4 linked regions of the Kluyveromyces lactis genome follow. The protein of the gene in region 1 purifies or fractionates together with the protein of each later gene. This does not show direct contact. Links are inferred from orthologs where the notes say so. Each region holds a gene or a part of one and is shown on either strand. Other genes may lie near its edges.

Region 1 (7,889 bases):
TACTACTCGTCCTGAAACTATGTTTGGTGACACTGCTGTCGCTATTCACCCAGACGATGAACGTTACAAGCACTTACATGGCCACTTCGTTCAACATCCTTTCTTGAATCGTAAAATGCCAATTGTATGCGATGCTGAAGCCGTTGATATGGAATTCGGTACTGGTGCCGTGAAGATCACCCCTGCACATGACCAAAACGATTACAACACCGGTCTTCGTCACAATCTGGAAGTTATCAACACCTTCACCGATGATGGTCTATTGAACGAAAACTGTGGTCCTGAATGGGAGGGCACTAGGAGATTCGACGCTAGAAAGTTAGTTATCGAAAAGTTAAAGGAAAAGGGTTTGTTCGTTGGTCAAAAAGACAACGAAATGACTATTCCAACATGTTCGAGATCTGGTGATATCATTGAACCATTATTGAAGCCTCAATGGTGGGTCTCGCAAAAGCAAATGGCTGAAGAAGCCATCAAAGTTGTTAGAAACGGTGAAATTACCATCACACCAAAGTCTTCGGAATCTGAATATTTCCATTGGTTAGAAAACATTCAAGATTGGTGTATCTCTAGACAACTATGGTGGGGTCACCGTTGTCCTGTTTACTTCGTGAACATTGAAGGTGAAGAAAACGACCGTAACGATAACTCATTCTGGGTGTCAGGTAGAAACTTGGAAGAAGCCGAAGCTAAGGCAGCCACTAAATTTGCTGATAAGAAGTACACTTTGGAACAAGACGAAGATGTTTTGGACACCTGGTTCTCATCTGGTCTATACCCATTCTCCACTTTAGGATGGCCAGATAAGACTCCAGATATGAGCCAATTCTACCCAGCTTCCATGTTGGAAACTGGTTGGGACATTCTTTTCTTCTGGGTTTCCAGAATGATCTTGTTAGGTCTAAAGTTGACCGGCTCTATTCCATTCAAGGAAGTATTCTGTCACTCTTTAGTTCGTGATGCTCAGGGTCGTAAGATGTCTAAGTCCTTGGGTAACGTTGTTGACCCATTGGATGTTATCTCTGGTATCAAGCTAGAGGATCTACATGCTAAATTGTTGCAAGGTAACTTAGATCCAAGAGAAGTCGAGAAGGCAAAGAATGGTCAAAAGGAATCTTACCCACACGGTATCCCAGAATGTGGTACTGATGCTTTGAGATTTGCTCTTTGTGCATACACCACTGGTGGTCGTGACATTAACTTGGATATTCTCCGTGTTGAAGGTTACAGAAAGTTCTGTAACAAGATCTACCAAGCTACCAAGTTTGCTTTGTTGAGATTGGGAGATGACTATAAACCACCAGCTTCTGAAGCTCTTTCTGGCAATGAATCCTTAGTTGAAAAATGGATCTTGCACGAATTGACTGAAACTGCCAAGAATGTCAACGAAGCATTTGAAAAGCGTGACTTCTTGAACTCCACCTCAGCCATCTATGAATTCTGGTATTTGGTCTGTGATGTTTACATTGAGAACTCCAAGTACTTGATTCAAGAAGGTACAGAAGTTCAACAAAAGTCTGCTAAGGATACCTTATATATCTTGATCGACAATGCATTGAAAATGATCCATCCATTCATGCCTTTCATCTCTGAAGAAATGTGGCAACATCTACCAAGATACGCCAGCGAAACTTCTCCAACTATCGTTAAGAGCTCATACCCAACTTTCAAGGAAGAATTCCACAATCCAAGCGCTGCTAAGGAATACGAGCTAATCTTAAACGTCACAAAGGATGCTCGTTCCTTGTTGGCACAATATAACATCTTGAAAAACGGTAAGGTGTTTGTTGAATCTGCTAATGAATCATACTACTCCACTGTCCAATCTCAAAAAGATTCTATCGTCTCTTTGATTAAGGCAATCGATGAAGTTTCCGTTGTGAAATCTGCTGCTGATATCCCACAAGGTTGTGTGCTACAATCTGTCAACCCAGAAGTTAACGTGCATGTGCTTGTGAAGGGTCACGTCGATATCGATGCAGAAATCTCCAAGGTCCAAAAGAAGCTAGACAAGACTTTGAAGTCTAAATCTGCCATTGATAAGATTGTCAACAGCAGCGATTATGAACAAAAGGCCAATGACCAAGTGAAGCAATTCAACAAAGAAAGATCAGAGCACGCTGCCGCTGAAATCGAAACCTTGGAAGCTACCATCGCTAACTTGGAAGCATTGAAGTTGTAGAATTGTTTTGTTATTTGTCCAATAGATTAGATTACTCTCTCTGCCGCTGCTAATGCGAATTATATAAATGCAAATATATATAAATTGTATATAAAGATGATAACGTTAATTATAAAGTTAATTTATAAAGAACCATGGGTGCAGGTATACCCACTACTGTCTCCAGACGAAATCTTTGGCGACTTTATCCTTGATCACTGATCTCAACTCTGTGTATAACCGTATACACTCTTTCTCACCTGTTTCTAACACTTTAAACAACTGTGACTCGTCAAAGCTGCCTAAACTATCAAGAAGAAGCAGGTTCCTGACATCTATATCCCCGTTCTCATTCGTGCCCAGCTCTAGACAGTATACGTGGACCGATTCACATTTAGCTAGCTGCGATTCTGTTGGGTTCACCACCAGCTGCTTCCCTTCAGTGGTAATACCAATACAAGTACCAGAACACATACTGAGTAACGGTACACCAGCATCCACCAATGCGAGCACCGCTGCGTTAACACATACACTGACTTCTTTCACAGTATAATCCCTGCTTTCTCCCGCTTCTAATACTTGGAGACATATCTGCACAAATTGACGTGGATGCAAGTATCTCGCAAGCACTGGGGTCAACACAGAACGGATCTGATCTTCCATTAACTTTTCCCTCGTACTCTGTACGCCTTCAGCAGGCTTCACGATGATCTCTAATGCAAGTTGTGTGGGCAACTCTTGCCTAGACTTAGGTTCCATGGGTCCCGAAACAGAACAGATAACTTTAGTTCCGCTGTTTGAAACAACAGAAGAGCCATCAACATGGCCCAAAACATGCGTCGTAGTCTCCATCTTGGCTAGAAAATTACTATAGGTACAATATAACAATCAATACGCAGTCGGTATAGACGGTAATGAGCCACTACAGTCCCTCTTTCCCCATCTTTTGAATGTTATGTCAGGATGAGATGAGATGAGCTTCAAATTCAGAAATTTTTCACTTTTAGGATACGCAATGAATAGATATGAAACTAAGAGGTTGGAGATGCAATGCAATTGATGTGCCAGAGACCCTTTTAGCAGGGCATGTATGTGGTAATTTATAAATAAGGAGATTGTGTGTAGGTCTGGCTTCATTTAAGTTCTGAGAAGGGAGCGAGAGACCAGCATTCAGTGAATCTTCAATCCATCAAGAGAGAGGGATTTATTTAATGACGAAGAGAGAATGAACACTGGCATAAGGAAAGACCATCTCAGGAAAGGTGAAACGGTATCATGGTACAATTCAGTGATTGCTGGTTCTGTTTCTGGGGTATTTGCTAGGATGGCAACTGCACCAATGGATACTGTAAAAATACGATATCAGTTACAACCGGTACAAGAGGACAAATATAAGGGAATTGCATCTACTGTGAGAACTATAATGAAAGAAGAAGGACTTCGAGCGTTATGGAAAGGAAACATCCCGGCGACGGCGATGTACGTTGTTTACGGTGCAGTACAATTCGGATCTTACTCGTGGTTCAACAACGTTTGGTCTGCGAAGTTCCCTCGGTTTTCACAGCAGGGACAAACGCTAACGGTCGGAGCGTTGGCAGGAATGACTAGTTCAGTGGTATCTTACCCGCTAGATTTGCTTCGGACAAGACTTATAGCAAACAGAACGAGCCATCGGACCAGTGTCGCAGAGGAGTGCCGACAAATGTGGCTCAATGAAGGTGTACGAGGTTTTTTCACTGGAATATCCACTGCGATGACAACGGTTACTTTATCCACGGCTATCATGTTTCTCACATATGAGACCGTGAATATAGTCTGTGAAAACCACGAGAAAGAATTCTGGTCGCGACCTGTAAGTGCTAGTTCAGGGATCATCGCAGGGTTTGTATCCAAGACGATGGTGTTCCCCATTGACACTTTACGTCGCAGAATGCAAGTGATGAACTCTAAGAGAACAGTTCATTTCACCAAATTCCCTGCTGTTTACCACGAGTACAGGTATAAATCATCCACTGCAATTATTTACAAGATACTAAGACAGGAGGGTGTATCAGCGTTGTACCGAGGACTTACAATGGGACTATGTAAATCTGTTCCAACGACAGCAATCAGTCTTTTCGTGTATGAACGCACAATGGATCTCTTTGATCACGGACAGCGCTGGGGGAGATCTCCATAGGACAACTGTGGATATATCTCATACCAACGGAGGATGTTACAGAGAGCGTGTTTACCTCCAGTATATAGTTGATGTAGAGGAATATCCTACTGTGTATAAGTCACGTGATCAATATCAGAATCATTTAATGATAACTTCCAAACGAATCAAAGCAACTTACCGATGGCTGATGCAAAAGAGAAAAAGAGACGACAAAACCAGTCGGTACGGCGCCACTTCTAGCTGCAATTGACGCGTAGGATCTAAGTACAAGTGGTAATTCTTATTTTTGGTGTTACTATTGCGAAGTTGTGCAGATTGTTTCTGGAAACTACTTAAATTAAGAGCCTCGACGAGTTAACAAGAATAATCTCGTGAAATAGTTTCAAATGTCCGCTGTCACCGCTAGAGATGTGCTATGGTACATCCCAAACCAGATAGGGTATGTGCGTGTGGTGACGATGTGTTTATCGTTGGTTTTGATGGCCAAGCATCCGTTGTGGACGATGGTAGTGTATGGAGTGTCTTGTTTGTTAGATGCACTAGATGGGACAATGGCACGTAAGTACGGCCAGATCAGTTCATTCGGTGCTGTGCTGGATATGGTGACAGATAGATCCACCACCACAGCATTGATCTGTTTCCTATGCGTGGCATATCCGGTATGGTCGCCCGTGTTCCAACTACTAGTTGCCTTGGACATTTCAAGCCACTATATCCACATGTACGCAACGCTAAGCACAGGGTCTCAATCGCACAAGGCCATCGAAAAGGAACAATGGCTTCTCAACTTATACTACACGAGACGTAAGGTGCTATTCACGATTTGTGCGTTGAACGAAATGTTCTACATGGGTCTATATATCAACGCCTTCCCTCAGTTCAAATCGTATTACTTCCCATTGCTTGGATCCACCCATATCGGAGCTATCATCGCGCTGGTGTGTCTTCCAGGGTACATATTCAAGCAGATTGCCAACGTCGTTCAACTAAACCGTGCTGCGTTGATGCTTGCCAATAAGGACGCAGCAGAAGCCACTGAGAGAAGAAGTGCAAAGAAGAACTAAGAGTTCCTCCCCATTTATAACTACCGAATAGAATTTACCGATATATATATATATATATATAAATACATCAATGAACTAGAAATCTAGTACTCTGAAAGTGCATGCCACCTAACGCCAGAATGTACGGTCCATAGCTTGCGTACTTTACCATATATCATCTTTGTCTCATCTCGTATTTTATGATGGCATCTCTCGAGCAGCTTTATGGAACAAATTACTGTAAATCCACATTCACCACTTCAAACGGAACTAGATCAGAAGGAGAAAAAAAGGCTTTGTGCTACTACGGATAGACCAGCAGCTGTGGTACTGTTTCCCTCGAGGTTGAGAGTTTTGTTGCCTGTTCAATAACCAAAGATGAGTAGTTCTTTGTTTAGCAGCGTCGTTCCAGCAGCTGTTTCCGAACAGATAGATCTGTTCACGACCTATGTGATGTCCTTACCTCCGCACCCTCATTTGACCGAGTACGTGATCCCATATCTCGAATCCAATGGATGGATTACTTCGAATGTGATTCTATCCAATTTACACACTGTGTTGTACATTGCCGTCGGGTATCATGCGCTATTCCTGTTATCTCAACGGGTCTTATTCCCACCTCTAGCTTCTTATAGGTTATCCTGGGATCCGGAGACTACGAAAGACCAACGTAAGTCTAAGGAAAAGCAGCATGCAGACCTTGTCAACCAGAGTGCCGTTCGTCTGGTGAGTTGGATCCAATCTCTGATCGTGCTTTATCTCAGTTTCGAGGCCATTGCATATAACAATGAAAAACCAGATCTAAACTCTCACGATCGTATCTTTGGCATGGACCCATATAACGTGAAGGTATGCGTTTTCGCAATTGGGTACTTCCTATGGGATATCTACATTTCATTGGTCTACTCTACCCTCCCATTCGTGCTGCACGGTTTGATCTCTACGGTGGTTTATGCTATTGGTTTAAAACCTTACATCAACTACTACGCAGGTATTTTCCTGATGTTCGAGCTATCCAATCCATTCTTGAATATCAGATGGTTCGGGATCAAGTACTTGCCACAACTGACCAAAGACTGTCAGACTGTCATGGCCAAGGTGTGTAACGTGATCCAATTGGTGAACAATGTCGTTTTGATCTTGATCTTCTTCTTGGCAAGAATCTGCTGGGGTTTCTACCAATTCTACCAACTGTGTACCGATTTCTACAACATCAGAAACGATCCAAGCTTCTTACCTCTCGAAACGGCCATCATTGTGACCGGTAACCTGATCCTTGACGTTTTGAACTTATTCTGGTTATCAACCATGCTTTCTGTTGCTGTCAGAATCATCAAGAAAGGTGGTAAAGTCCAAGATAAATGAAGATAATACAAAGCGAGCGACCGGCGAATAGACCCTCAGATTCTGAGGCTCGTCCCGCCGTGTAACATTCTGCCTTATAAACTTTTATAAATCTATTGAATTTAGATACAGAATCCCGAGAGATAAACTAAATATCCTTACGTACATCCAAATCAAGTTCTTGAATAAACTCTGACGATTTCCTGAAGCACACTATAGCAGCCTCCTCATGCCCTAAATTGCTATTCTTGGACCGTACACGGCTGAGCCCATGACTCTGTTTTGAGTTTAATCAAGAGAATGTACATAAATAGAATCGAAATAATTGGAATTTGAATCACACACATCACCACACCATGTCAACACAAAAACAAAGAAAGAAAGCCAAATAACACTCCTTAAACTCCCTGTACCGTCGAGTAACATAGATAATCAGTATTCACTGGAAGCACATAACATACCAGTGTGATACGAGTGGCAACGGAATATCGCTTAGCATTGTTGCTGTTGACTTTATAATCGGTTTATTTTAGGGACAAGGAACCAAGCTTTGATCTGTCATTATCAGCGATGGAACCGCGAATTGAAGAAACGGATACTGGATCACTGGCAGATAACTCATCAGTTGCTTCGTCGGATTCGAATTATTTATTGGATTTAGCTGATGAAACCGAGTATGAGGATATCTTACCCAAGACCAACTATCATTCTCCTTATTACGTGAACGTTCCGACTCCCAAGCATTCTCTCTTGGCAGGAGCTGGTGCTAACAGTGCCAGTGCTGGTGCCAATTCAGGAGCCGGTAATGCAAATATCAGTGCCAGAGCTGGTGCTAATGTTGGTGTGGGCTCGGGTGCAGGTGCTAGTGCCAATGCTGGAAAAGCTGAGGGATTAGACTTATATGATGATGGTACAGCGTCATTTGTGCGAGAATATCCTACTGATATCTTGGCGGATAGGTTTCATAAATGGCGGAAGATCTTGAAGGCGATGATCATTTATTTGAGAGAAGTTGCATATTCGCAAGAACAATTCGCAAGAATCAATTATTCCTTGAAGAATTCTGTGAAGTTCTCATTCTTGACTGATTTAGATGAAAGTACTAACAGAGTCTCAGATCCATTGACGAAGAATTTGCCACAAAAGAAACCGCAACCAATGACGCAGATGAAATCGCCAT
Region 2 (7,592 bases), on another chromosome or scaffold:
TCATATTGATATTGCAGAAATATGAAATTTTGTTTTATGAAGGATTTTATACCTGCATTGGACCAAAGATCTCTGTTAAGCATCTGGCACTGGAAAATATCTGCACATTGGATGTTAATCATTACCCATTTATTCCTTTTCTTGGCTTTTTGCCTTGCAGTGTCAAGATCGTATTTTGCCATTAAATCGAATGGAGGTCTAAACAATAATGCTAGCCTGGTTTCCTTTGACATTGGTTTTGGCTTCTTAACCCATTTCGTATATTCCCGTAGTTCACCATCGTCGTCTATTTCCACGACGTTTTCTTCTACGTATTCGTACTCATCCTCATTACTGGGATAATTTTCTTCATCAGTAAACGCAGAATCACTATCGTCATCATCGTCATCCCGATGGTAGTTGTTAGATCTACCAGAACGTAGTAGGTCTGTGTCTAATTGTTGATTAAAAATTCCTGAAGGTCTTGAATTGTCAAACATATCCCTGGCATTACGCAATGGTTCAAAAGAACCTCCAATACCACCATAAACACTAGGAAACACATTTGTCTCCACCAATGTCTCGTGTCTTGCCTGATCCGGAGCCCTATATTGATCTTCATCCTGATACGCTTGTCTTTGTAATTCTTCAGCAAACTCTACGTCGCCACTCAGACCGCCAGAACCCCCTGTATTAGCACCAGCACCAGCACCGGCATTATTATTACCAGAATTGCTGTTCAACTGTCTCTCACCACCATGTTCAAAGAATAACGAGATGGCTGTTTCCAAATTGCCTCCGGCCATCTCAAGGAAATGTCTTGACAATTCATCGTTATCTGTACCGCAAACACCTTGGAAAGTTGAAATATCCTCGTCAGATATCATGGCTATTGAAATGTACTTCTTTTAATCCTTTTACTGGTCTCTGTAACTCTCTGTTGCCACTTGAAACCTGTATCTTTGGTTAATTCTTGTTCACGTTTGCCAACTGGAATTTCCTTCTTTTTGTTTCCCAATTTTAGTGTATTTATACTATACAACTTGTTATGTCAGTGAAAAATGCGATGCTAATTATTAATATAGAATGCCAGAATAAGACCCAGGAATACATGGATGAACATGCCAGGACATATTTCAGATGAATTATTTCTTCGATACTTTACCAGATTGTTTTTGCTGTTTTGATTTCTTTGTTCCGTCTACTACTCGATTTGCCAGTCCATCCTTATCAGTGCTGGTGGTGGAAGCCTCTGTCGAAAACTTAGTATGTTTCCCCTGAAAGTTGACTTTACTGATAGCAGGTTCCATTTTGCCACCTCCCAACGCAGATTGTAGAACTCTTTTTGCTTGTTCTTCTTGCTCCACCTCATCCTTCTCTTCAGATTCTTTCTTAGCTTCTAACTGTTTAGATTTATCCATATATGACTTACACCTTGCCAATTCGGCCATGATAGGTGACAGGTCTTTGATATTGAGGACTTTCATGTATGAAAAGCATAGTGAACTCAATACATATGCGTATTTGTTTGAAAGATCAAGTTTCTTCTTTTCATCTTGCAGAAGCAACAGTTGTTCGTCCAATGACTTGCTCGTTAGTTTGTTAATCTCACCACTGAGTTGTTCCACCTGTTTATTGAGATACGAGATGTATGGTTTAATTTTCTTAGTATCTTCCATGCTGGTAGTTGTATGTGGTCCGTGTTCTTGTCGTTGTCGACTGAGGCAGCGATGAGATGAGATGAGATGAGATGAGATGAAGCTGTATAATACCGAGATGAAGTATTCTTCACTGAATCAAAATTTTCGATCAATAACATAATACTGCGAATTTTTCGCAATGGAACAAAACGCATAATAATCTGCGTGCGTTTCGCACGTAGAAGTACTTCAGTAATATTTCTATTTCTTTATCCAGCGAAAATTCCATATTTGCCTGCCAAAAAAAAAAAAAAAAACGCAAGACATTACACACATTCATACCACATATATGGAGAACCTGTACTCAATACAGGGCGAGTAGTCCTATTTGGACTGTTGAAGTAACATCCACCCTCCGCCAGTATACTTAATTTCAACACTGGCCTAGCTCAAGAAGTACTTTAGTTTGTTTCTCGTCAGCATAGATAATGGTCGCTGATGACTTATCGAATATAGAGACACAGCTACGACAGGTTCGTGAGAAATATCGTGAGCAAGCACACTCGCTCTCGCCAAGCGATGCAGAATCATGGTCAACCTTGGCATCAAATTTGCAGAAAGTCGTCACAGAAATGGATCAGCTTTTGCAGCGGAACTCTAAACAGATGAACGTATCCTTCCTATTGAACCACGAGTCATCATCGCTTCAGGCTGGAATACAGCCACCGCAACCGCTTCTACAGAACCTATACCAAAAGAACGGGAACGACGAACAGCAGAACCATCTCAAAGTCAAACTCGATAGAACTGCGTTCTATTCGGAAAATTCCCCCTTCCAACATCAAATGGATCGGTCTGGTTCATTCAGACTCTGTCCACCTTTAGCACATACAAGTGCAGAAGATTACTTCCGCAACGATACGCAAACCCCAATTATGATCTCAGATGGCCAGATCCTGGAGAACTTGGCCAATCTTAAACGTCTCACTGAGATGCAACGCCAATAGGTGGATGTAATCTTCGTTTTCGTTTGAGATTCGACACATCACATATATGATCCATCTTTTATTTGAGTCATGCGAACGTTTTTGACCAATTATACACATATACACATATAATATGTATAGTAAAAGATAAAGCTGTAATGATACACTATAAAATATCTGTTGGCACCAGTTGCAGAACCATAGAGGTTCAATACCCAACGCAATTCTATCTCTTTGGTATATGTTTTCTCTTAAATCTGTCGAATTTGTCGCTCTTTGAGGGGGAAACAAAATTCGAAAAACATTAAAATAACTAACTAGCAAGTAAACATCAACATCAATAAAGTATCAAGACAAACAACGACACTAGGAAAGCTCTACACGCAATCTGACAACGGCTGTAGTGGAAAATCAATAGAAGAATTACATTGCTCTAAGTTATAAGTTATTTTTTTACCCCTCATCATGACTGGGAATCGATCTCTGGTTCAGAGACACAGAAAGAAGTTCGTTGTTTCTAGTGTTTTGTTTGCTACGCTATTTGCTACATGCGCTATTACGGTCTATTTCAGTAAAAGATGGTTGTACAAGCAGCATTTGAAAATGACGGAGCAACGATTTGTCAAGGAACAGATCAAACGGAGGTTTGTACAAACTCAGCAGGACTCGTTGTACACTCTTTATGAATTGATGCCGGTAATGACGTTAGTGTTGGCTAAGGATTTCGATCTTGATTCTATTGTAGAGGCTCTAAAGGGGAAAAAGTTACAGAAGAAGCTTTCCAAAGGTGAAATAGCTGGGAATGAGTTGGAAAATGAGGGCTTAAGTTCAGGAATGAGTGCGATGACGCCTGCACCCAGTGTGTCAGCGAAATCTCCGCAATCTGCAGATACCACTAGCGTTTCTGAAACGTCTACGAAATCCAAGGCCGAGCTTTGGGACGATTTGAAACTCAAAGCTATCACCAAGATCATTATCTTGTCCTATACCACATCATTATTGATGCTTTTAACCCGATTGCAATTGAATATATTGGCAAGAAGAGAGTATTTGGATACTGCCATCAATTCTGCCATGGAAAAGGAAAGGGAAAAGAAGGCTAATCAATACTCAGTCTTATCTTGGTTCTCTAGTTGGATCACTGAAAAGAGCAACAATTTACCCAGTGAAAAAGCTGACCCAAGAAACAGCGATGGTACTATTGACACGGACACAAGGAGCATTGCATCCACTGCGAACCCTGAAAAATCGAGATACGTTAACGAACAAGCTTTCTTATCCTTATCGTGGTGGTTATTAAACCGTGGATACCTACAATACAAGAGTATCATTGAACAATTGGTGAAAGAAGAGTTCCAAAATTCGAACCCAAGAGATATCATGACAATGGATGAGTTCAGTGGCAAGATAAGCAAGATATTCGTCACCACAAACAAGCAATTCTTTCAACAGCCACAATCGAATGAAATGTTCATTTCATGTCTACTTCCTGAACCTAACTTAGAGAGATTTGTTCTTCAACAAACTTTAGAACAAGATGCTTTGAAAGTACTATACGAGGATAATCTATTACTAAAACAACTTGTACAAGAGACCAACAAATGCCTACAATCACCTGGAACATGGATTGTCCTGGAGTCTTTAATCGATGAAACATTCCACACAATCATGGAACAAATCGAGGATAATGTCAACAGCAAATCGAAACCTAAATCGAATGATGACGACACCAAAGTAGTCGATATATCCAAAAATTCATATCAAATCGCATTATTCTCTATCGCCACGAAAGACTGCACAAACGAAATGTTGAAAGCGGGACTCGTATCAATGAACAACAAGTTCCTACAGAAACTACACTCCATCTCGGCACTTGACGATCTCAGTGCATGCGTATATAGTAACTTCGGTCTATGAAAACCTTACTTGGCCCTCCATTCAAGTACTGAAATCGCTCCATACCGTGTATGTAGATAGTTCTATAGTTAACGTTACTCTTTCACTGGCACTACGGGGTTTCTCTTCCTGTTTCTTTAATGGCCACGTGATCATAATTTTCTTTTCCTTAAGGTCAAATAACGAAAAGAATCGAATTCCCAACAGGTTGTCAATCAACATGTTATACATCTCAGTTAATGTTTGCAAGTGGATAGGAGCTTGGTGTTTGTAGTTAGTTAGCACCATAGAGTTACCAAGTGGGTTCTATTTAGTACCAGAAAATCATGTCCAAGGAAAACCAGAACGTTGTTTTAGTGAGTGTTGAGGGAGAGAGATTTGTCGTTGACAGGAAGATCGCTGAACGCTCACTTTTACTAAAGAACTACTTGCAAGATCTTAACAGTGGCGATTTGCATGATGATAACGATGCTGACGATGACGAAGATGATGAAGAGGATGGTGACGATGAAATAGTGATGCCCGTGCCCAATGTGAGGTCGTCAGTATTACAGAAAGTGATCGAATGGGCCGTTCATCACAAGGATTCCAATTTCCCCGATGAAGATGACGACGATTCGAGGAAAGCTGCGCCTGTGGATCCATGGGACCGTGAGTTCTTGAAAGTGGACCAAGAAATGTTATATGAGATTATTCTAGCAGCTAACTATCTAAATATCAAGCCATTGTTGGATGCTGGATGTAAAGTTGTTGCGGAGATGATTAGGGGCAGAACACCTGAAGAAATCAGAAGGACCTTCAATATCGTTAACGATTTCACTCCAGAGGAAGAAGCTGCCATAAGACGTGAAAACGAATGGGCAGAAGACCGTTAAACTTACAAGTTTTCTTGTTGTTTTCTCTTTCTGTATCTACATCCTCTTCAGTTTAAAATAGCAATTTCCCTCATTTCCCGTATGTAATCAATAATTTAAGTACTTGCTTGTTAAGCGGATCTTAATTGAAGTAGTGAATTTGAGTCATGGGCAAACGCAGGGATCGCTTTCATATCGCATTTATAGCTTCAAGGTCTGTCTCTGCACCGATAATTTTTCATTTTTGTACCTATATATAATATTTAAAGAACGCGCTACCTTAAATTGAAACTTTTTGCTTCTGGTTTTATCTATTCAAGGCAGAACTGCATCGATAGATGCACCATAGGACCCTTGTTACTGGTATACTTGGTGTAGGATTGTGATGACGTTGACCATTGGTGAGGAGACCAAATCCAGACTAAGATCGCTAAGCGGGAATACTAGTTCGTTGCTAAATTTAAACAAACGCAAGAAGAAGAACAAGGAAAAGAAAAAGGATAAGGACAAGAGTCAACCAAAGTCTCAGGGCAATACACGTGTGCTACGGTCTACGAGTCTGAAACCCAATGTCAATGATGATGCATCTGCATTATCGTCGAATTCGAGCTATGATAAGGTGTATTTGATGGATGGGAGTGACCATAAAGCAGGATCTGCGAATCATGCCTCTGATAAGAACAATGTTTCAAGCACGGGTTCAGGTATCCAAAGCATCAAGATTCGTAGTAGCAGACAGTCTGGCGAAAAGTCAAGATCGAGGTCGCTGAGGATTTCTACATCATTGTCGAGGCTTCCGAGAAAGAATTCATTAAATGCAGGAAATGATACGTCTTCCACTGAGGGTTTCAATCAAACTGCAATGACAAGGGAAGAGAACACTGATCCATTGGGTTCGAGGTTACGGGTAAGCGATAGCAAGGCTTCTCTATCTGACGTACCATCAACGACTCTGTTCACCAAATTCAAGTCTTCGAAAAGTGATAGTGCGACTCCCGTAAAGAGTAAGCCAGACGAATCTGATTCCGGCCTCTTTTCATCGCTAATATCGGCTGCACATAACGCTGCTAACCATTTGATACCCAAAAGTTCACTGAAGAGTAGTAGCAGCCTTTACGATGAACCGTCCAATGGAGATAGAACTCAGTTGCTGACTTCTGGTATTGGTGGTACAGATACAAGTAATGATCCATACAACCATACAGGCTCATTTCTGAATCATTTAGACTTCCTTCTTGCTCCCAGCTCGAATAATGATTATTTACTGAAGAAGGCGACGACACTAGACACCCTTAATACCAGCGACTCCTCTACATCTTCCATTTCTCAACAAATGACTAATCCGTCTTCTACCGTGCCGTTATACGATGATAGCGATCAAGATGGTAATAACAGTGATGATATTGGTTCTGTGGGAACTTTCATGGATAAAGTCAAATTTACATCAGTAAAGCAAGATAATGCCCCCCCAATTTCGACCTTTGGGAGGGGAAATCTAACTTTAGATGCCATTGAAAAGGACAAAGATGATCTCAAGTCCACCGGCTTTCATACACCAAGTGTGCTGATTACCACAGACCAACCAGATCGACCGGTATCGTCTCCGTCCCCACTCTCAATGCCTAATGATGATGCAAATACGGACAGCAATACAAATTCTGCCAGTCCTTCATTCGAAAAAACTAGGCCGAGGAACGGTAGGTCAAGACGCCCCGAAGTGTTGAGAGATTTAACTATGAGATCATTGTCGCCTGCTGCAGCTACGAAATTATTTACAGCACCCCTAAGAAATTCATTTTCGGGCAGAAACATGACAAGAGCGAGTAGCATATCCAAGACCAGTGATATTGTTCAACCACCTGGAGGACCAACACGCCTGTCAACTTCGGACATTCCAATAAAGAGAAAAACTGAAGAACCAGAACTTCAAGGCATTGAATATGCAAGTGCTAAGCGTAATACAGATTTCCATACAATCTTTAAAGACACCGTAGTATCTCCAATTGAAAGATTAATAGCGGATTACAGTTGTGCTTTATCAAAAGATATTCTCATTCAAGGTAGGTTATACATATCTGATAGACACATTTGCTTTTACTCGAATATTTTGGGATGGATGAAGACTGTTGTAGTTCCATTCAAAGAGATAGTTCAGATCGAACAAAAGAACACTGCCGTATTATTTCCTAATGCCATATCGATACAAACCTTACATGACAAGTTCCTGTTTGCATCTT
Region 3 (7,861 bases), on another chromosome or scaffold:
ACGGTTTCTCCAGGCCCGTGGTGAGCTTTAGACAGTATAAGAATCCAGTGCTATGTCTAGCTGGCAAACAAAATTTAGGGGAACCTCGATGCCCATATCTAAACTAAGCTGAAAAAAAAGAAAGAAGGGAAATCGAGATAGATTGTGATTCTTTGACAGAATTCAGAATTCAACATCACCTGTTGTTGCATCGATACGGTCTGATCAATCGGAACTGCTCGGTTCCATCTTGACCGATTAAATTCTATATGGGGATTAGAAGCCAAGGAACAGCCAGCCATTCGAAACTTAGGACAAATAATCTAGCCGACATGCGACAGAACTGGATATAGAAGAACATAATTGGCAGAGTTTACGCAGACTACCAGAACAGAGCAGGACAGAATATGGTACGATATTGATCGTGCCATATACACCCGTACAGACCATACAGACCGTATAGTGACTATTGAAGGTCTATTATTGGTAGCCTTCAAGTGAAAGAAGGACCCACTGGCTGCGACATCCACTAACGTGGAAATAGCCTGACTCTGTGAGCTTCCCATTTTTTGCTATCGAATATCACAGGTAAAAGGCACCCCACAAGAGAGTATCTGGATTCCTATCATTTTGAAGAAGATATGAACAGAAAAGTGGCAGCCTGGATGAAGCATATCACTCGGAGAAAAGTGAAGAAGACAGGCAGCTGCGGATCTTTTTCAGTGGGGCAGAAGAAAAGCCTAGAAAAAACTTGTATGGAGGAAAAAATGCCAATTGCCTATAACGATAAGACCGGGTAATAGACATATGTTTTTCCGTTATCACCCCTCATTTTGAGACTTCTATGTTCTTCACACAAGATGTGAGCTGATTCAGACCATAGGATTCCCAAAATTAAGGGTTGTAATGCATTTTCACAGGTCTCTGGTTCACGACCTATCCCATTTATATACCATCACACAACATCACTCCAAAGGTTATCACGTAGCGTCCCTAACCTTTCGAATTGTATTGGGATTGGATTTATAGCTTTAATTGAAGCGAGTGCAAGCGCATGTGGCGTGCATATATATATATATATATATGTTGAAGCTGGAGAATCAGCTGCTAGTCACATGACCGACCATTACCCGGAGCTAAATGGCCTTTGGCTCTTTTAGCTCCGGGTAACAAACAGCAGACACCACAGTTTGTGTGGCTTCATCATTTTTTTCGACAATTCTGACTAATTTCACATGAGCAGGAAACTGATATAAAGATTAGTTTTTTTCGCTATTGGAAGTAGAGATTGCTTGGGGGATTTTCGGTGATGATTTCACATTTTGACACATTTCACGTTTGGGAGTGGTTTCTTGTCTTTTTCTCGAACTTAGCATATGATTTTTGCGTTCTGATTACAATTAGGGTACTGTTTTGTATTTTTGAATGTGAAAAAACACTAGATCTAAGCAAATTCAAATCAAAAGTTCACTAAATTCAACCGGTCTAATTCCGCTTAGAATATTATTTATATCAAGACAGGATTTCTTTAAGTCCAACTTTCCTACCTTAACGTTTAAAAATAAAGATTCAACTCTACGTTTCCGGTGAGGTTTTTTGGTTTGGGTTTAGTTTCTGTTAAAAGTAATTCAAAGACCACGACTTCGATTTCAACATTACGAAGGATCTTTCAACAGAGAGGAACTCAACTTCCATAGCAGACTCCCGTTAAATCGTTTATCTCTTCATCGATTCACTCAACTGAAATAACCAAACAAAAATTATACCCGCAGGATGGCTACTTCCTGTGAATCGACCGTTTTGAAACCTGATGGGAAGTTAAATTCACATGTGAAAATTCCAATAGCCCATCCAAGGTCTTCATCGACTATCAGATTCGACCCTCCAAAGACCCATGACATGGTAAGATCATTGTTCGATCCAACTTTGAAGAAGTCTTTCCTAGAATGCTGTATCACCGCTACCATTATCGGTAACGTTATTCTTTGCTACTATGCTTATCAGCATCTCGGTGCTAATACCACGAAAATTATCTTCTTGAGTCAGTACATATTTTGGAGATTGTCCTACAACTTGGGTATCGGTATAGTATTGCATTACCAATCCCATTATGAATCTTTGACAAATTTCGCCAAGAAACATACTTTGTTTGATAAAAAGGCGAACAACCTTTTGTCAAGATTTGTTAAGTTCGAGATCAGTGCAAAATACCAAAAAGGCGACTCTTTGTACCGTTACCCAGAAGAATGGAACACTTGGCTCTTGTTCAGACAGTTTGTCGATTTAATCTTAATGCAAGATTTTACCACTTACATGCTTTACGTTGTGATTTCTTTACCTCATAACGATATTCTCAACAATATCACTAGCTTCAATTCTATTGGTATCAGAGTTTGGCTCGGTGTTTTAATGGTCCTTTTCAATATTTGGGTCAAAATCGACGCACATTCAGTGGTTAAAGATTATGCTTGGTACTGGGGTGATTTCTTCTTTTTGCAAGACGCAAACCTTGTCTTTGATGGTGTTTTCAACGTTTTCCCACATCCCATGTATTCTATCGGTTACATTGGCTACTATGGGTTGAGTTTAATCTCCGGCGATCATCATGTTCTTTTCGTTTCCATTCTTGGTCACTGTTTGCAATTCTTGTTTTTGAAGTATGTGGAAACTCCTCATATCGAACGCATCTATGGATCTGATTCATCCGACGAAGAGGAATCAATTGATGATAAGATGGTCAAACAATTAGATAACTATTCCAAGCCATTAGTCACAACATTCTTGGGTTTCAAAAACTTTGACAAGTTTAAACCAACTGATTATATCACTTTAATCACCGTGGCATCAATTGTTATTGGGTGCACAATTTTAAACCCAAGCTTTGTCACTTTATCCAAAATTGCGTTGACCACTAAGATTGTGTCATCTGTTATCAATATGACTATATTATACAAGCAATCGAATAGCAAATGGTTCACCTCATTATACTTGAAGAATGGATACAATGAAATTTATGCTTATCAAATGTGGCAGTTTATCTACAATTTACACAGCACTATCAATTATATTCTTTTGGTATTGCAATGCTACTACCATTTTGTCAAATGTGACTCAGGTAGTTACAATACAATAACCTTTGGGTTGTTGTTGTTGGCTATTCAAATTTGGTGCAACACTGAGATCTTCCATAGTATTAAAGAATTTGGCTGGTTTTATGGTGATTTCTTCCTACCTAATTTAATTGACAAAAGGAAATTGAAGAACGATGGTATTTATAGATACTTGAATAATCCTGAGCGTGTGTTTGGTGTTGCAGGTATCTGGGGGACCGTCTTAATTAACAATTTTTCAAATTGGAATCTCTGGTTAGCCACTACATGGACGATGTTCAATTGGTTCACTGTTAAATTCATCGAAACACCACATTTGTTAAAGGTTTATGGAACCAAACCAACATCTAGTGGTTTCGAAAAGACTTTGACCAAGTACAAATTTGGTAAGGATTTCAAGAGTTTAATCGATAAAGTTGATCAATTGCTCGATGATTATTTATTCACTAGTCTAGTGCCAAAACAAAGCGTTGCTGAAGCAGATCGTGAGGGAGATTGGGAATCGATTATCAATATGCTTTTGATTAGAGAGCAAACGGTGAAAAATTTGCAAGGCACCGGCCACTTTAACTTGGATATCGTCAACATCAATGACGAAAATACGATTCGGATTCCAGAAGAAATCGAAATCAAATGGGCCGTTACCAATGAAGCTTTCCACAAAGATGACTGGATTGGACTTTACAAAGTCGTTGAAACTGGTGAAGATAGATTAACTACAAAGATACCATCTCAAGGACATTGGTCGGCGGTATCTTCGAGCTCTTCATATTCTGAAGATCATCAGAAGATTTTGCATTTCGATTCAAATGACCATTTCACTTATGGATCTATAAAATTCGATAAGAGTATCCTTTGCTTTGAAGAAGGTATTTATGAATTTAGATACCACAGTGCTAACAGTCACGATGTTGTTATGATCTCGAAACCTTTCAAGTTATTATTCCCTCAATTTAAAGAAACTGTAAAAGACGTGGACCAATTAATTGCTACCACGAAGCAGTTCTTGAAACAATGTGGTGTTCTAATCAATGATAATAAATTTGATTTGAATAGGAACAAATATTTCACTGGGAAAACATTACAAAACTGGTATAAGTCTACTATGGACACCGATGTTTCCGTTGTTTACATGAAACGTACCAATTTTGATATCGATATTATCACCAAAAAAGTATGGCAAATCAAGCAAGTGTTAGATAACTTGGAATAAATCGCATTCTATTGTACTTAACTATATCTAAAGTATCAACCCATGTATAAATAGGATATGTTTCTAACGAATCCTCACCCTTAATGGTAAAGCCTTGTATATTTTTATTTTGCTAATACAGAAGAAGCGTTCGTGTCACATTAATTATGAATCACTATGAAATTACGTTAACCATTTCATTTCATTTAAGATATTGAACCAAAGTCTGCTTATTTACCAAATATTTTGCCTTGCACTCTTCTATTAATTTTGATATGTCAGTGACGTTATCGTCATCGCTCCAAATACCGACGATTTCATGTCCATTCCTAATAAACGCAACCACAGAGTTATCTTTTGACCCGGCACTCACTAAATCAATGATTTCAATACCTGCGTCTACAAGAGCCATGGTAATAGAATTAATGCATGTGGGTAGAATATTAACGATATTTGCCTCCTCTGTTGGATTACTATTAGAATGCTGGATCAAATCTATAAAGATATCAATACCAGATTTTGGATACTTCTCAACGTTTATCACCGCATTAAAGACATTTGTTAGGAAAGTACAAATTTCTTTAATTTCTCCGGTATTCAAATGTTCTAACGTAACTTCTTTGAACTGAATCGATACTGATGCCTTAGATTGGAAGGAGCCTCGCAATGGCCTGGGTCCGAAGACAGAACTCATTACGAGAACTTGATCCGAAGTACCATCCATATATTCTAGGTATGAGGAACCATTTGCATTCGTTACTAAATCCGTACTAATGAACACAGATTCCTTACCCGATTTATTACCATTACCATCGTCCCTGTTCTCTACGGTTCTTACAGGAGTAATTGCAGCAAACTGCAATGGCTTCGCTTCTGCTGGCCCTAATATTCTTCTTCTATCTTGCACACTCATTAATAGACCTCTCTTCTGTGGGTATTAGTTTAATATAACGATGGGAAACAAACTCAAGTAAATATATGCTGATATGGCACTAGCCAACGTCAACTTGGAAGCATCTCATCGCATGTATATTCACTTGCAAAACGGTCACTAACAGAATACCACGATTGAAATAGTCGAGATGGAAAAATTCTAACGTCATCACGTGATAATATATATGTGTTTCCTATTTGTTTCCCGTTTGTTTCCGTACCGTACTTGTTTCCAAATTATCGGCAGGCAGCATTGGAACTTTTTTACAAATCAACCGACGATCAGTACGTGTGAAATGATTTCTAAACAGAAGAAGTGGCTGTCGCCCGGTATTGTCAAACCAGTAAATAGTAATAGATCCGTATTTCTGAAAAAGAGTCGTGTACTAGCTTTCGGCTCATCACCTCATACGTCAGAAGGAAACGGAGAGAACTGCTTTGTGAAGTTATATAACCACGTGACTAACTGGTGTTTCTCATATGTTTCTCATATGTTTCCAAACAGCACTTGTTTCCGGTTCATGCCAGGTGACCGTTTTCGCAAACCGGTGGAGGGGCAGACGGAGACCCCCCCCTCACAACCTGGGATTTGGCAACTAAAACACCCCACTCTAACCCGCCTTGCCAGTCGTACATACAAAAGCCAGTATCGTTTCTGGGTGTATCATCAAGACAAAGTCAGAAGCTATTCACTTGGACCAGATCGAAAGCCGAACCCTCGCTAATGCTCTCACCAGAAGCTCTTTCATGCATAGGTTTCAAGAATCAAGGCAAGTCATTCGTTCATTGGTTGAACCACCGAAGAAAAGGATGACCAAAGTACATTTTTGAATTAAACCGACTCTGTTAGTGTAACGTTTCTTCCAGGCATCTGGCAGAAATTATAAAGATTTTTGATATTACACCCCACCAATAGCCCAGGACTCTGATTAAAATCAAACTACTCTGCGAATATTGCTCAAAGTCTAACCATATAACTTGGAATGTCCATTGATTCAAACAAGTTGCAGTAGGACAGAATATCATGAATGACAGTTAACCTACAATCTTTTTTCTTGAACAAAAACTAACAATCTAAGAGAGATTGAATCGTAAAAACAAGAACATCAAGGCAGAAAGCCGTTGAATAAGGCCAACATACATCTTTACATAGGGAACAACGAGTATATTGAACTTAATGTACTATCTCGTACATACTTCAGAAGAGGGAGGAAAAGTATTGACTAAAGTTACGGCAATCCAATCTTAAAAAATTTGATGCATAAGTTTTGGCTCTCTTTGTAAGGAAACCTTTGACATCAGATCGCGGTAGCATTACGATGCTAATCGTAGACCAGAGTGATCTAGGGTCATTGTCATATAGCAAGGCGGCTGTACGGGAGCTGCAAAAAGAAAATAATGCTTCCAACCAGAGTCGAACTGATGATCTCCACATTACTAGTGTGGCGCCTTACCAACTTGGCCATAGAAGCTGTTATTCTCTTGAAGTCCCGTTGAAAACCACCTGTATATAATGAACTTACGTGGCACCCATTTTCCTTTTTTTTTTTTTTTTTGTTGCCATTCATTTCAGTTCACAGGCTTACAGGGCATATTACTGGAATAGTTTAACAGTATAAGAAAAATATACAGCATATGATCAGCAATTCCCATAAATGAAACATCTTCCGTAGACTTTTTCTTGAAATGAGATTGCAAATGAGTATACATTTCAGATCAAATCTTTCTTGATCATAATCGACCTTTCTGTTCGCATGTTTACCTATGGAAAAAAACACAAGTCATGTGACTCTGCCCACTAATTCCATACTCTTGTGTTACCGTTGGAATCTTCGTATTACTATTCTACCTAAACATCTAATACTAAAACCTTCAACTACGCCGGTAGACTCGAACTATCTCATTTAAATGCTATTGTTTTACACTCCTGTTTGCAAGTGCTTTACTATTTTATTCTCCAAGAGTTAACCAAGATGTGTTCGGATGTATCAACATTACCCTTGGCGCTATCCGTCATACATCAAAGCTCGAATGAAAAAGAAGCCTCTCCATAATTAAAAAAAAGGATTAATCACGTGACCCAATTTATGAACAAGCCGTCGAAAACCAAACTCTAATTTTAAACTATATTTACCAACAGCAACTCTTATGTAGATTAGGGGAAAACATTGCGAAAAGGCCATTATATTAAGTTCTATTAGACCACAATAACATACCAGAAGAAAAAACATTTACTCGTTAAGGGACCTTCATTATGCTACAAACAATCACCCAAAACCACAAACTTTTGTTACGTATAGGAGCTGATTCTGTGAAACCTGTTTTATATAGGAGTACAGTGCGGAACAACTCATGGTGGTCCAAGATAATTTATCCGTTCACCCAGGAAGAGAACATTTCACCATCGCAATCATATGTGAAGACAGGGAAGAATCAGTGTTTTTTACCTATCAGGAACGACAATGAATTGAATGACGTACTTCTTTTCAACAACCGTCTCCCCTTAATCTTAAACTTCACCTTTAGAGGAAATGAGACATGTAATAAATTAACTGGAGCGTTAAACAGGATTGTACTTTTAGAAACGGATAAGAGAATTAATATCTGTGATGTGGAGACTGATTTCCTAGAAACCAGAGAAGCGATG
Region 4 (9,368 bases), on another chromosome or scaffold:
GTTATATGGTTGACAATTGGTTCATTGAATTGTTATCTTGTATTTTCATACCTCATGGGAGCGGACGTGCATTTTTAAGTCTAAGTAGGCATTTTATATAGTTTTGATGGATTCTGTTTAATCTATAATCAATTCGTAAATTGTACTTATTGGATCTGCTTTGTTGATCTCTTCTCTTGTACCTTTGTTGTGGTTAATTTCTTTGTTCTTTATATAATCTTTAATTGTTCTTGGACATTTACCTTCGAAAGTAATTGAGGAAGTAAAAAAATCGAAACACTGATGGTTTCAGAAAATAACTCCAAATAATAGTAACCGTTAGCTATCACTGATAATAAACTAGCCCCACAGATTATTGCACACTACCACAGCTGCGATTTATAGATTCTATACGGAAATATCTACTTCACTGCATAACTTTCTTACTTTTCTTTTTTCTAGTCGATATGGTCTTGACGACAGGAACTGATCCGGCATAATTAGTCTGAAGGACTGGGAAATGTTTCTCGTGCAATTTTGGAGATGTCACAATCTGTTTAGAAAGTAGAGCTTCTTTCAAGATGTTCTGTGCTCTATGATAAAGGGAAACTTCCTCACTTGTTGGTTTTGATATCTTGTTCAGCTTGACCCTTCTCGATTTACATGCCTTTAGCTTTAGCAATATCTCTGTCAATAACCTTTGCTGTTCACCTTGCTCAAAAGCCGTTATATCTTCATCATGTATCTCATGGCTAGGTTGCCAGTCATAAAGATTTTTCAAATTAATATTGACAGGTCCAGCTGGCTCCGTTGTCACTATTACTTCATCTCCCTCCTCATTTGTATCTTGCTCTTCATCCGTGGCAACATTCTGCTCTTCATCATTTTCATTTGATTCCTTTTTTTGGTTGTCAGATCCGATACTGTCATTTGCTTCCTCAACCTTTTGATCTTCAATACCCTCATCCTTTATTTTTTCATCTTCAACATTTTTATCTTCTGCTTCCGCAGCCCCTCTCTTCTTCGATTCTATTTCTAACCAGCTTTTGTATCCGACCTTTTCCAACCATATGTCTCCTTTACGGGAACAATCTGTTACAGACTTGAACTCCGAGATACTCGGAGCAAAAGATTGATAGTCGCCATACTCCAACCATTTAGTAGTGGGTAGCGGGTACCAATTCGGATGCAGAAAGGAGGTCATGATTTCTGTAGGAGAAATTGTTGGATCAGGAACATTGGAAGTGTTAGCTGCTACGAATCCCAATCTATTGGCTGGTTGGGATGTTGCTTGAGGAATAATTTTCACAATTTCACATTCCTCGTATGGTACTTCCTTTGGCCTCTGATCAAGTACTGACCTCGTTATCACCGAACTGAACAAATGTCCCTCCTTTGTCTGCGTATGGTAAGTTTCAGTAACGGGGAGCTGATAAACTTGACTAATTTTAAGGAAATCATTGGAAATGGTTTTTGAAAAATCACTTTCTTTGAAGTCAATGTCTGCCGCGAAGTCTCCCACCAGTTTGGCTCCAACTCTATAACATTCCCTTAGAATCAATTCTGCTGCAAATTTGTAGAATTTGTCGACCATTTGGTACGACCTCGTTCCTTGAGAGTAGTAGTGAATTAAAATGGAGCATACTAATTTAATATCATGGTAAATCCGATAAACAGAATCTTCATGCTTCTGGTAATCTCCACTAGCAAATTTATCAGATATGGAAATTGAATCAATATCTTCTGCTATTTTGATATCTGGATTTTCATCAAACTTGGCCCTTAGAAACTTCACGTAAGAATCGTATATGTGTGTTGGATCAGGCTCGTAGAATTCTTTAGGAAACCTTTCATCTAAAGCTCTGCATTTCGAAGATGCACTAATTAAATCAAAATAAAATTAATACTGTTAGTATTTGATTGTAAAATAAAATCATGCTTTGGCAAATCTAACACTGAAAACATAAAATAAAGACTTGAGGAACCCCAGGTCATCGTATGCTGGTCTTTAATTTATTATTATCACCGATTCTAGACAAAAACATGTGCGAATGCAACATAATTCGAATGAAAAATGTGTTGTTTTTATATTCACATACCCTTTTAAAACAGTTAGTAAGTTCTGAAAAAAATTCTCTTTTAGCAGCTCTACCATTGTTTACTTATTTTTAGCCCACTATAAAAGAGTTTGCAGACCTTGTACTCTCTCACTGCCCATCAGTTTGTCATTCAGCAGTAATGTAAGAAGCCTTTATTGATCAACCTGCGCCAAAACCTGTGTTTTCATTATGAAAAACATCAAAACCGTACATCATGATCCAACTGGCATCCATTGACAGCTTTTACAGAGATTCCTGTCACAGCAACAGTACCCAGTCATAGCCTAACAAGCTAGGTATTGGCCTTTAATTATTCCAATGCAATTGGTATTATATGAGTTAATTAATTCTATAAATTGTACTGGTGTAGTTCTAGGGTCTTTTCGAAGCTTGATAGTTTTTAAATGCTTTTGGAGTAAGGAATTTCTTGACCGTCCATACACCTTTCTCTTTCTCTTGATGAACAGGGATAGGATTGAGTTCCCAACCAATCTTGATGTCGCTATCATTGCAAGATCCAAATCTAGGAACAACATAGCAGAATCTTTCTGTTGGCGATAAATCAATAGGTTTCAAACCTTGTCCAGTGATTGGTTTTCCGTAAGTGAGTAACGAGCCCTTTCTTGCAACGTTAGCCAATGGCGTGCTTTTAATGTCACAAAGAGACTTCATCCTTGTTTTCGCCTTTTCATTATTTTTATTGACATGTAGTGATTGGAAAACCAAGTATTTCGGAGGTTGCTCGCCAGAATTGTTGAGAATTGAGGTTGGATGAATATAAACAAAGATATCATCCAAAGAAGATGTTTTCTCAGCAAGGACTGGAACATAAGGGATATTGAAAATGTTGGTTTTGTTGATAGTAACGTCTTCCGGGAATAACTGGTCTGCGCGAACGGCCACCTGGTCGATAAATCCTGCTGTGATCATTTGCTTGAGTAATTTGATTTGAACATCGGTGGGGATCGAGCTCTTCAAGTCTTCGTCTTTAACATTTACAGCTACATTTTCTCTCGAAGTAACTGACCTGATGATGAACATCACCTGCTTTCTCAACTTCATAATCTCCTCTACGGTTTTTGCCCTTAAGAAATTTTTTTCCATGAAAGAACTGTGCTGATCCTTTGGAATGAAATCCAACGCAGATACTGCACTTAAAAGACGGAAAACATCACTGAATTTATCAAGCTTACTAAATCTAATTTTGCTTTTAACATACTTGGAGCGCAATAGCCTTTTTCTTTCCTCAGCTTCGTGATCAGGATAGTCATCTAATTGTCCTTCATCTTGTGTCTTGGGCACAGTATCCATGATACCAAGCTCTTGTTCAGATAAAAACGGCTCACCTACTGAAAGGGCACTGACAATGGTAACAACATATTTCAAACAGTCGCTTTCATTACCAACAAGCAGCATTTTAGAAAATCTTGGACTTAGCGGAAACAAACTCATTGCTTTACCATCATCAGTGATTCTTTCATTACTGTCGAGTGCACCTAGGTGTTGTAAGAGCTTTATTGACTTCATCAAAGCTGGTCTTTCGGGTGGGGTAGGGAATGGAAAATTCACAATATTATGAACAGCCATGCTCTTCATTTGCAAAACTATACTCTCCACAGGCATTCTTAAAATTTCAGGCTTAGAAAACTGCTCAAAATCTCTTTCGAAAACTGCAGAGGAGTATAAACGATAACAATGACCAGGCCCTGTACGCCCTGCTCTACCACTTCTTTGGCCAGCAGAAGCTTTGCTAATCCAGTCAATTTCGAAACTCTGAACACCATTATTTTCATCAAACTTTCTTTCCTTTGATCTACCACAATCAACGACGTATCTTACTCCCGGTATGGTCAATGATGTTTCTGCCACATTAGTAGCAACAACACATAATCTGGAGTTTGGTGGGGGATCAAGGAAGACCTTCATTTGCTCTTTGGTGGGCAATAGCGAGTAAAGAGGAAGAACATATAGTGGATCTCTATCCGTCTGACCTTCTTCAAGTGTTTCTTCAAAACCTTCTTCTTCGTCCTCTTCTTTGTCCTCAATATCTTCCTCATCAGAGAGTAAACAATCGTCAAATTCTTGTTCCTCTCTAACTCTGACACTGAAGTCGATATCTTCAGCTTCTACATCTGCAGTTTTGGCATCTATTTTCACTGTAGGTATGTGGTCATTTTGAATGAGAGTTTGATGTTTCTTGGGGAAAGGAAACTCTTTTCTTAACCTTTTTACCATGTGCGTGATCTCTTGCTGTCCTGTCATAAAAACCAAGATAGCACCAGGAGGCAACCTTTGATGTATTTTACACGTCTTCCTGAAAGCCTCTTCAGCATAGTTATAAGCTGTTCTACGATTGAAATGTACAGCCACTGGATACTGCCTGGCGTCGACCTTTAAGACAGGTGGAGAAACAGGGAATAAAGTAGGGTTTTCACTAAAATCTGATACTCTCAAGGTGGCAGACATGATAATTAGTTTAAGTTTTTTGTACTTAGCCGGATCAGTTGCATGCTCCTTAGCACGTAAGCTGACACAACGACTTAACATACCAATCAAAATATCTGTATTGATGTTCCTCTCGTGAGCTTCATCGATAATGATAGAAGAGTATTTAGAAAGTCTAAAATCGTTCATCATCTCTCTTAGCAAAACACCATCAGTCATAAATTTCATTCTTGTTTTATCCTTGGTAGAAGAATCGAACCGAATTTGGTATCCTACATATTCGCCATGATCACCCATCTCATTAGTAACACGTCCAGCCATAGAGACAGCGGCCACTCTTCTAGGTTGTGTTATTCCAATCATCCCAGGCGTGTCAGTTGAGGACGAATTACCATATCCTGCCTCGTAAAGAAACTGCGGTACCTGTGTCGTTTTACCTGAACCAGTTTCACCACAAATGATTACAACGTCATTATGATGGATAGCTTCCATAATTCTATGTTCCTCGGCGAAAACAGGTAGTGCGCTTCTCACAGCTTGAACAGCATCAGATCTCCGTACCTTGACATAAAAAGCCTTACGTGTTGAATTTTCGTTCACATTAAATTCATCTGCTTTGAGTCCATCTTCAAAGTCTTCAGGTCTCTCGGTCCTATCGACCTTGATGTTGGAGGAAGGCATAACCATTTCTACATCTCTACCTTCAAGCTTTTTAATTTCCTGATTTGCCCACTCTTTAAATTCTTGGGCAACTGAAGAACTTACGTTTCTGCACTGCGCTATTTCTGAATCCGATCTTTCCTCGCCGTCAGACTCACTCGACTCATCATCGCTGTGACTATCAGCATTACTATTAGATTCACTCTCATCAGGTTCACTTTCTGCAGTGGATGAATGTTCTTCTGATTCACTTTCGTCAGATTCAAAATCCTGATCATCATCCAGTTTACGCCTTCTACGTTCTTCTTGCTCTACCTTTTGCTTCCAGTTATACCTTTTCTTCGAGGCCCTTTTATTCACCACCTTTGCATTACCGAATCCAAAACCAAAACCTGACCCACCAAATTTACTGGGTCTATTATCAATAAATCCCCCAGTATTTGCCGAAATAGGGTGATCTGAACTGGTATGGTCCGTTTCATCACTATCCGAATTGCAATTTTCAGCTGTGCTTTCCTGACTGGGCCTAGTTTCTGGATGATCTTGATACCAATCCCTTACCTCAGTTTCATCGTAAAGAATTTCCCTGGTAGTTTCATCACCACGTCCATTTCTTTCTAATTTGAGGGCTTCTTCAATCCCTTGCCTCTTAGTTTGCCTTCCTTGTCCCAAAATCTTAGAACTTGTCAAAAGCTTAGTATCAATTTTATAGTCCTGAAGTTTTTCTATCAAAACTTTTTTCTCCTCTCTTTTCAATTGATGCTCGATGAACTTCTCTAACCTTTTTTTCTTCGTCCTAGAGACCTTCGTTTCCTTAGGTGTGAATAGCTCTTCCAATTTACGCTTTTTCTCTTGTTTCTCTTCCTCCGTCATGGGTTTCAATACAGCAGCGTTCGTATCTTCCTGATGATCGGGTGATTCATGATGTTCATCTTCAGATGAATTACCTTCTTCAGAATCAGCATCGGAAGAATTTTCAAGTGCACGGGTGAACTGCCTATTCCTTACTCTCTTCAACTCCTTCAACTTAGACATCTGACCCGCGCGTGCTTTCTCATTCCAGCGCTTCCTATAGGTACCCATGTTTGTTGTTCAATTTTTTGACCGTTTAACGTGCGAGGTACTTCTCTTGACTGTTAATGTCACAGAGGCCTATAACATTCAGACTACCAGCCTGTTATCAACGAGATTTTGATATATAGATGCAGGTGAGCTTGGATGCGATGAGATGCGATGAGCTTTAAAGCTTTTTCTGCCATAAAGGAAGATGAAAAAAAAAAAAAGAAAGTCGCTTTCAACGTTTTGATAATTCAAAGATATAGGCAATCTTTTGTACATTTAAGTTCAAAGAGCAGTTGATTCCACCGTTAATTGGGTTTTCAAGTACTCATTAAATTTGGGAAACGTGATAAATCGCATTTTTTGCCTCTTTTCAAATCATTAATGAATGGTTCCCAAACCTGATAAGCACAACAGCTCAACAGAGGATGAAGAAATATATGGTATTCTTGACAAGCCTAATATTAGGCACGTCCAATTTGGCTTGAATAAAAGATTTGCAACTTGGTACGGGAGTAATGTTTATTTTGGAAGAAATAAGAGGACCTTGGGCTTCAAGGAATCGAACAATGAGCACACCGCAAAACAAAGCCCTACTGAAAAGAAGTTTGAAGATCAGTATTGGATTGATACCCTATACGTATGTGAATATTGTTTCAAGTACACTGATGATGAAGCAGAGTTAATCGCACATGAGTGCTTTTGCCGATATAAGAATAAGCCACCCGGTAGAATAAAATACAGAAGCCCCGAATACACTATACGAAGGGTAAAAGGTTCTAAGCATGAAGTTTTCTGCCAATGCTTATGTCTATTTACTAAGCTATTTCTTGATAACAAGTCTGTCTACTTCAAAGTTAAGCATTTCGAATTCTATATTGTGTATGAGAACAATTCTACAGTACCGATGGCATTTTTTTCAAAAGACTTATATTCCTACCACCAAAATAACCTTGCATGTATTCTTGTCTTTCCGCCCTATCAAAGAAGAAGATTGGGTACTCTCTTGATTGAGTTTTCCTACACTTTATCAAGATGTCAGGGTCTGATTTCGGGTCCTGAAGTTCCTCTATCTCCTTTCGGTTTAATTGGCTATCTTAAATTTTGGTCTTTCTCAATAGTTTGGCAGTTGACTGAAGGTAATTTGAAAGATGTGGCCCAGGTCACTTTGAAGGATCTTTCCGAGGCCACTGGTTTTAGAATCAATGATATAATTCAAGCTCTCAAATATCTTGATTGTTTAAGTGATTCTGAAATAAGACTCAATATCATCCGTTCATGGGCAAGACGCAACAAGGTATCCCATGGATTTATGATCAAAGATGAATATCTACTACTTGATGATTAACGAATTAAATAACAGCTTAAATGCAAAGCCCTAAAAGGCTTCTATATGATTGAATGTCATGATAGTCTATTGAAACAACATTTGGATTTCCTCGATCCTCTTCTGTCTCCTTTCTGCCTCATCACCCTCAACAATATCCCCTAACATTCTCTTTCTTTCCTGTATTCTTAACATTTTCTCTTCTACACTATTATCGATAATGAACCGGACAACTTTGACAGTTTGCTGCTGACCAATACGATGTATTCTATCAATCGCTTGATCTTCCATACCTGGAGACCACCATGGGTCCATCATAAACGCTCTTGATGCACAAGTCAAATTTAATCCCACACCTCCAGTTTTCAACGACAAAAGTAATAACTTTATACAACTCAAATCCTTATCGTGGAACTGTTCCAAGATTCTAGTCCGTTCCTTCATATCTAACCGTCCGTCGAATTTGTAAATAATTACCTGATCTCTTGGCAAATGCGAACGTAGCTCTATTTCTAGAATGTCTAGGAATGATGAGAACTGAGAAAATACGATTATTTGTTCACCAGGAGAAGTTTCTTGTATTTGCTTGAGATGCCTCAATAAAGCTTTAATTTTAGTCGATTGGAAATGTGAATGAAACGAAATTAGTTCATATCCTCTTTCAGCATCAATTGGCTCCTTTAGCTTTAACACATTAGCTTCTGAGATCGGCATTCTACAATATGGACAGTTGATGGATAGTTTTTTATTTTGCTGAAATTCAATGTATTCTGCCAAACAAGGTTCACAAAATGTGTGGAGACACTCTGTTATAGAGACCGCAGACAGCGGTTCAATACACTCAGTGGTGCAAATAGCACATTCAAAAGAAGGTAATTGCTCTGAAGCGCTGTGAATATCACGAAAGTTCGCACTTAAAGCATCCAATTTATCTTGAGAAATGGAACTTTTTGGTGACTTAATATTTTTTGGCATGAGGATGGAGGAGATGTTTTGAGTTGAGTTCTCCAGATCTTCAAGATCTGGGTCTCCGAGATCTGGTGTCTTTTTGAGTAAATCCAAATGACAGCAGACTTGTCTAAGTCTTAAAATATGGACCAAGATATTAGTGTAGTTCTTCAATAGATCACCTTTGGCCAACCCTTCTTTAACAGAGTTTTCCGCATCTTCTAACATGGATTGATAAACTCTTTTCTCACTGGATGAAAGTTGCAACTTTTCGACGATTACTTCCTTTGGAGGTAAAGAGACTAAAGGTTTGCCATCAACATCCTTCATATTCTTCGTTCTTCTGAGAAGCACAGGCTCCAATACTGCATTTATGACATCAAATGCCTGCGCATAGTTACCTTTCTCGAAAGGAACTGAAACGTAACGCTTCCAATAGTTGATGTGAGACCAGGGCTCTAAGTTCAAGAACTGAACTAAGGAAAATAGATCGTCAAGTCGATTGATGATTGGTGTTCCTGTCAAGATCCATTTTCTGGAACTCCGCAAGGCTATGACAGCTTTAGATGTCCTTGTACTTCTATTTCTAATCGTATGACCTTCATCCAATATTATTCTAAAGAAGACCACATTGAATAATCCCGATGTTGAGGTTCTCCCATATTCGCTCTGAATTATCCCATAAGTAGTTATGATTACTGAGGGAGCGTTGGGGCCAAGCACATACGCCCTTAAATCTTTAATATTATTCCCGTAATAAATTTCACAACGTTTTTTGAGGTCCTTGTTGGCCTTTTCGAATTCTGATTGCCACTGATTCAATAAGGACATCGGCACTACTATCAACGTCG

Evidence for each region.
Region 2: the proteins of RRP46 (region 1) and LRP1 purify together in Saccharomyces cerevisiae (affinity purification with mass spectrometry; 6 studies listed by BioGRID, with this or other methods). This does not show direct contact. The link is inferred for Kluyveromyces lactis from reciprocal best matches to the Saccharomyces cerevisiae genes RRP46 and LRP1.
Region 3: the proteins of RRP46 (region 1) and MTR3 purify together in Saccharomyces cerevisiae (affinity purification with mass spectrometry; 7 studies listed by BioGRID, with this or other methods). This does not show direct contact. The link is inferred for Kluyveromyces lactis from reciprocal best matches to the Saccharomyces cerevisiae genes RRP46 and MTR3.
Region 4: the proteins of RRP46 (region 1) and ECM16 purify together in Saccharomyces cerevisiae (affinity purification with mass spectrometry; 3 studies listed by BioGRID). This does not show direct contact. The link is inferred for Kluyveromyces lactis from reciprocal best matches to the Saccharomyces cerevisiae genes RRP46 and ECM16.

What each region holds. Positions count from the first base shown.
Region 1 is NC_006040.1:1,264,417-1,272,305, forward strand, and holds RRP46 (exosome non-catalytic core subunit RRP46), read right to left. Parts: upstream 3,014-7,889; coding exon 2,336-3,013; downstream 1-2,335. Other genes in the region: VAS1 (valine--tRNA ligase), read left to right, coding at 1-2,182; thiamine transporter TPC1, read left to right, coding at 3,387-4,340; PIS1 (CDP-diacylglycerol--inositol 3-phosphatidyltransferase), read left to right, coding at 4,709-5,386; ALE2 (Ale2p), read left to right, coding at 5,744-6,730; KLLA0_D15081g (uncharacterized protein), read left to right, coding at 7,280-7,889. UniProt on the Saccharomyces cerevisiae protein: Non-catalytic component of the RNA exosome complex which has 3'->5' exoribonuclease activity and participates in a multitude of cellular RNA processing and degradation events.
Region 2 is NC_006041.1:1,505,669-1,513,260, reverse strand, and holds LRP1 (Lrp1p), read right to left. Parts: upstream 1,659-7,592; coding exon 1,125-1,658; downstream 1-1,124. Other genes in the region: DNA protein crosslink repair co-factor UBX5, read right to left, coding at 1-866; KLLA0_E16985g (uncharacterized protein), read left to right, coding at 2,108-2,626; PEX3 (Pex3p), read left to right, coding at 3,071-4,522; SCF ubiquitin ligase subunit SKP1, read left to right, coding at 4,828-5,376; YSP2 (Ysp2p), read left to right, coding at 5,741-7,592. UniProt on the Saccharomyces cerevisiae protein: Required for exosome-dependent processing of pre-rRNA and small nucleolar RNA (snRNA) precursors. Involved in processing of 35S pre-rRNA at the A0, A1 and A2 sites. Required for activity of RRP6 in 7S pre-rRNA processing.
Region 3 is NC_006042.1:1,684,704-1,692,564, forward strand, and holds MTR3 (exosome non-catalytic core subunit MTR3), read right to left. Parts: upstream 5,195-7,861; coding exon 4,484-5,194; downstream 1-4,483. Other genes in the region: CHO2 (phosphatidylethanolamine N-methyltransferase), read left to right, coding at 1,753-4,302; KLLA0_F18370g (uncharacterized protein), read left to right, coding at 7,469-7,861.
Region 4 is NC_006042.1:1,593,631-1,602,998, forward strand, and holds ECM16 (ATP-dependent RNA helicase ECM16), read right to left. Parts: upstream 6,267-9,368; coding exon 2,451-6,266; downstream 1-2,450. Other genes in the region: putative divalent metal ion transporter SMF3, read left to right, coding at 1-78; RSC58 (Rsc58p), read right to left, coding at 407-1,859, 2,079-2,134; SAS2 (histone acetyltransferase), read left to right, coding at 6,631-7,590; DNA helicase RAD5, read right to left, coding at 7,657-9,368. UniProt on the Saccharomyces cerevisiae protein: Probable ATP-binding RNA helicase. Required for 18S rRNA synthesis. May play a role in restructuring of the pre-rRNA.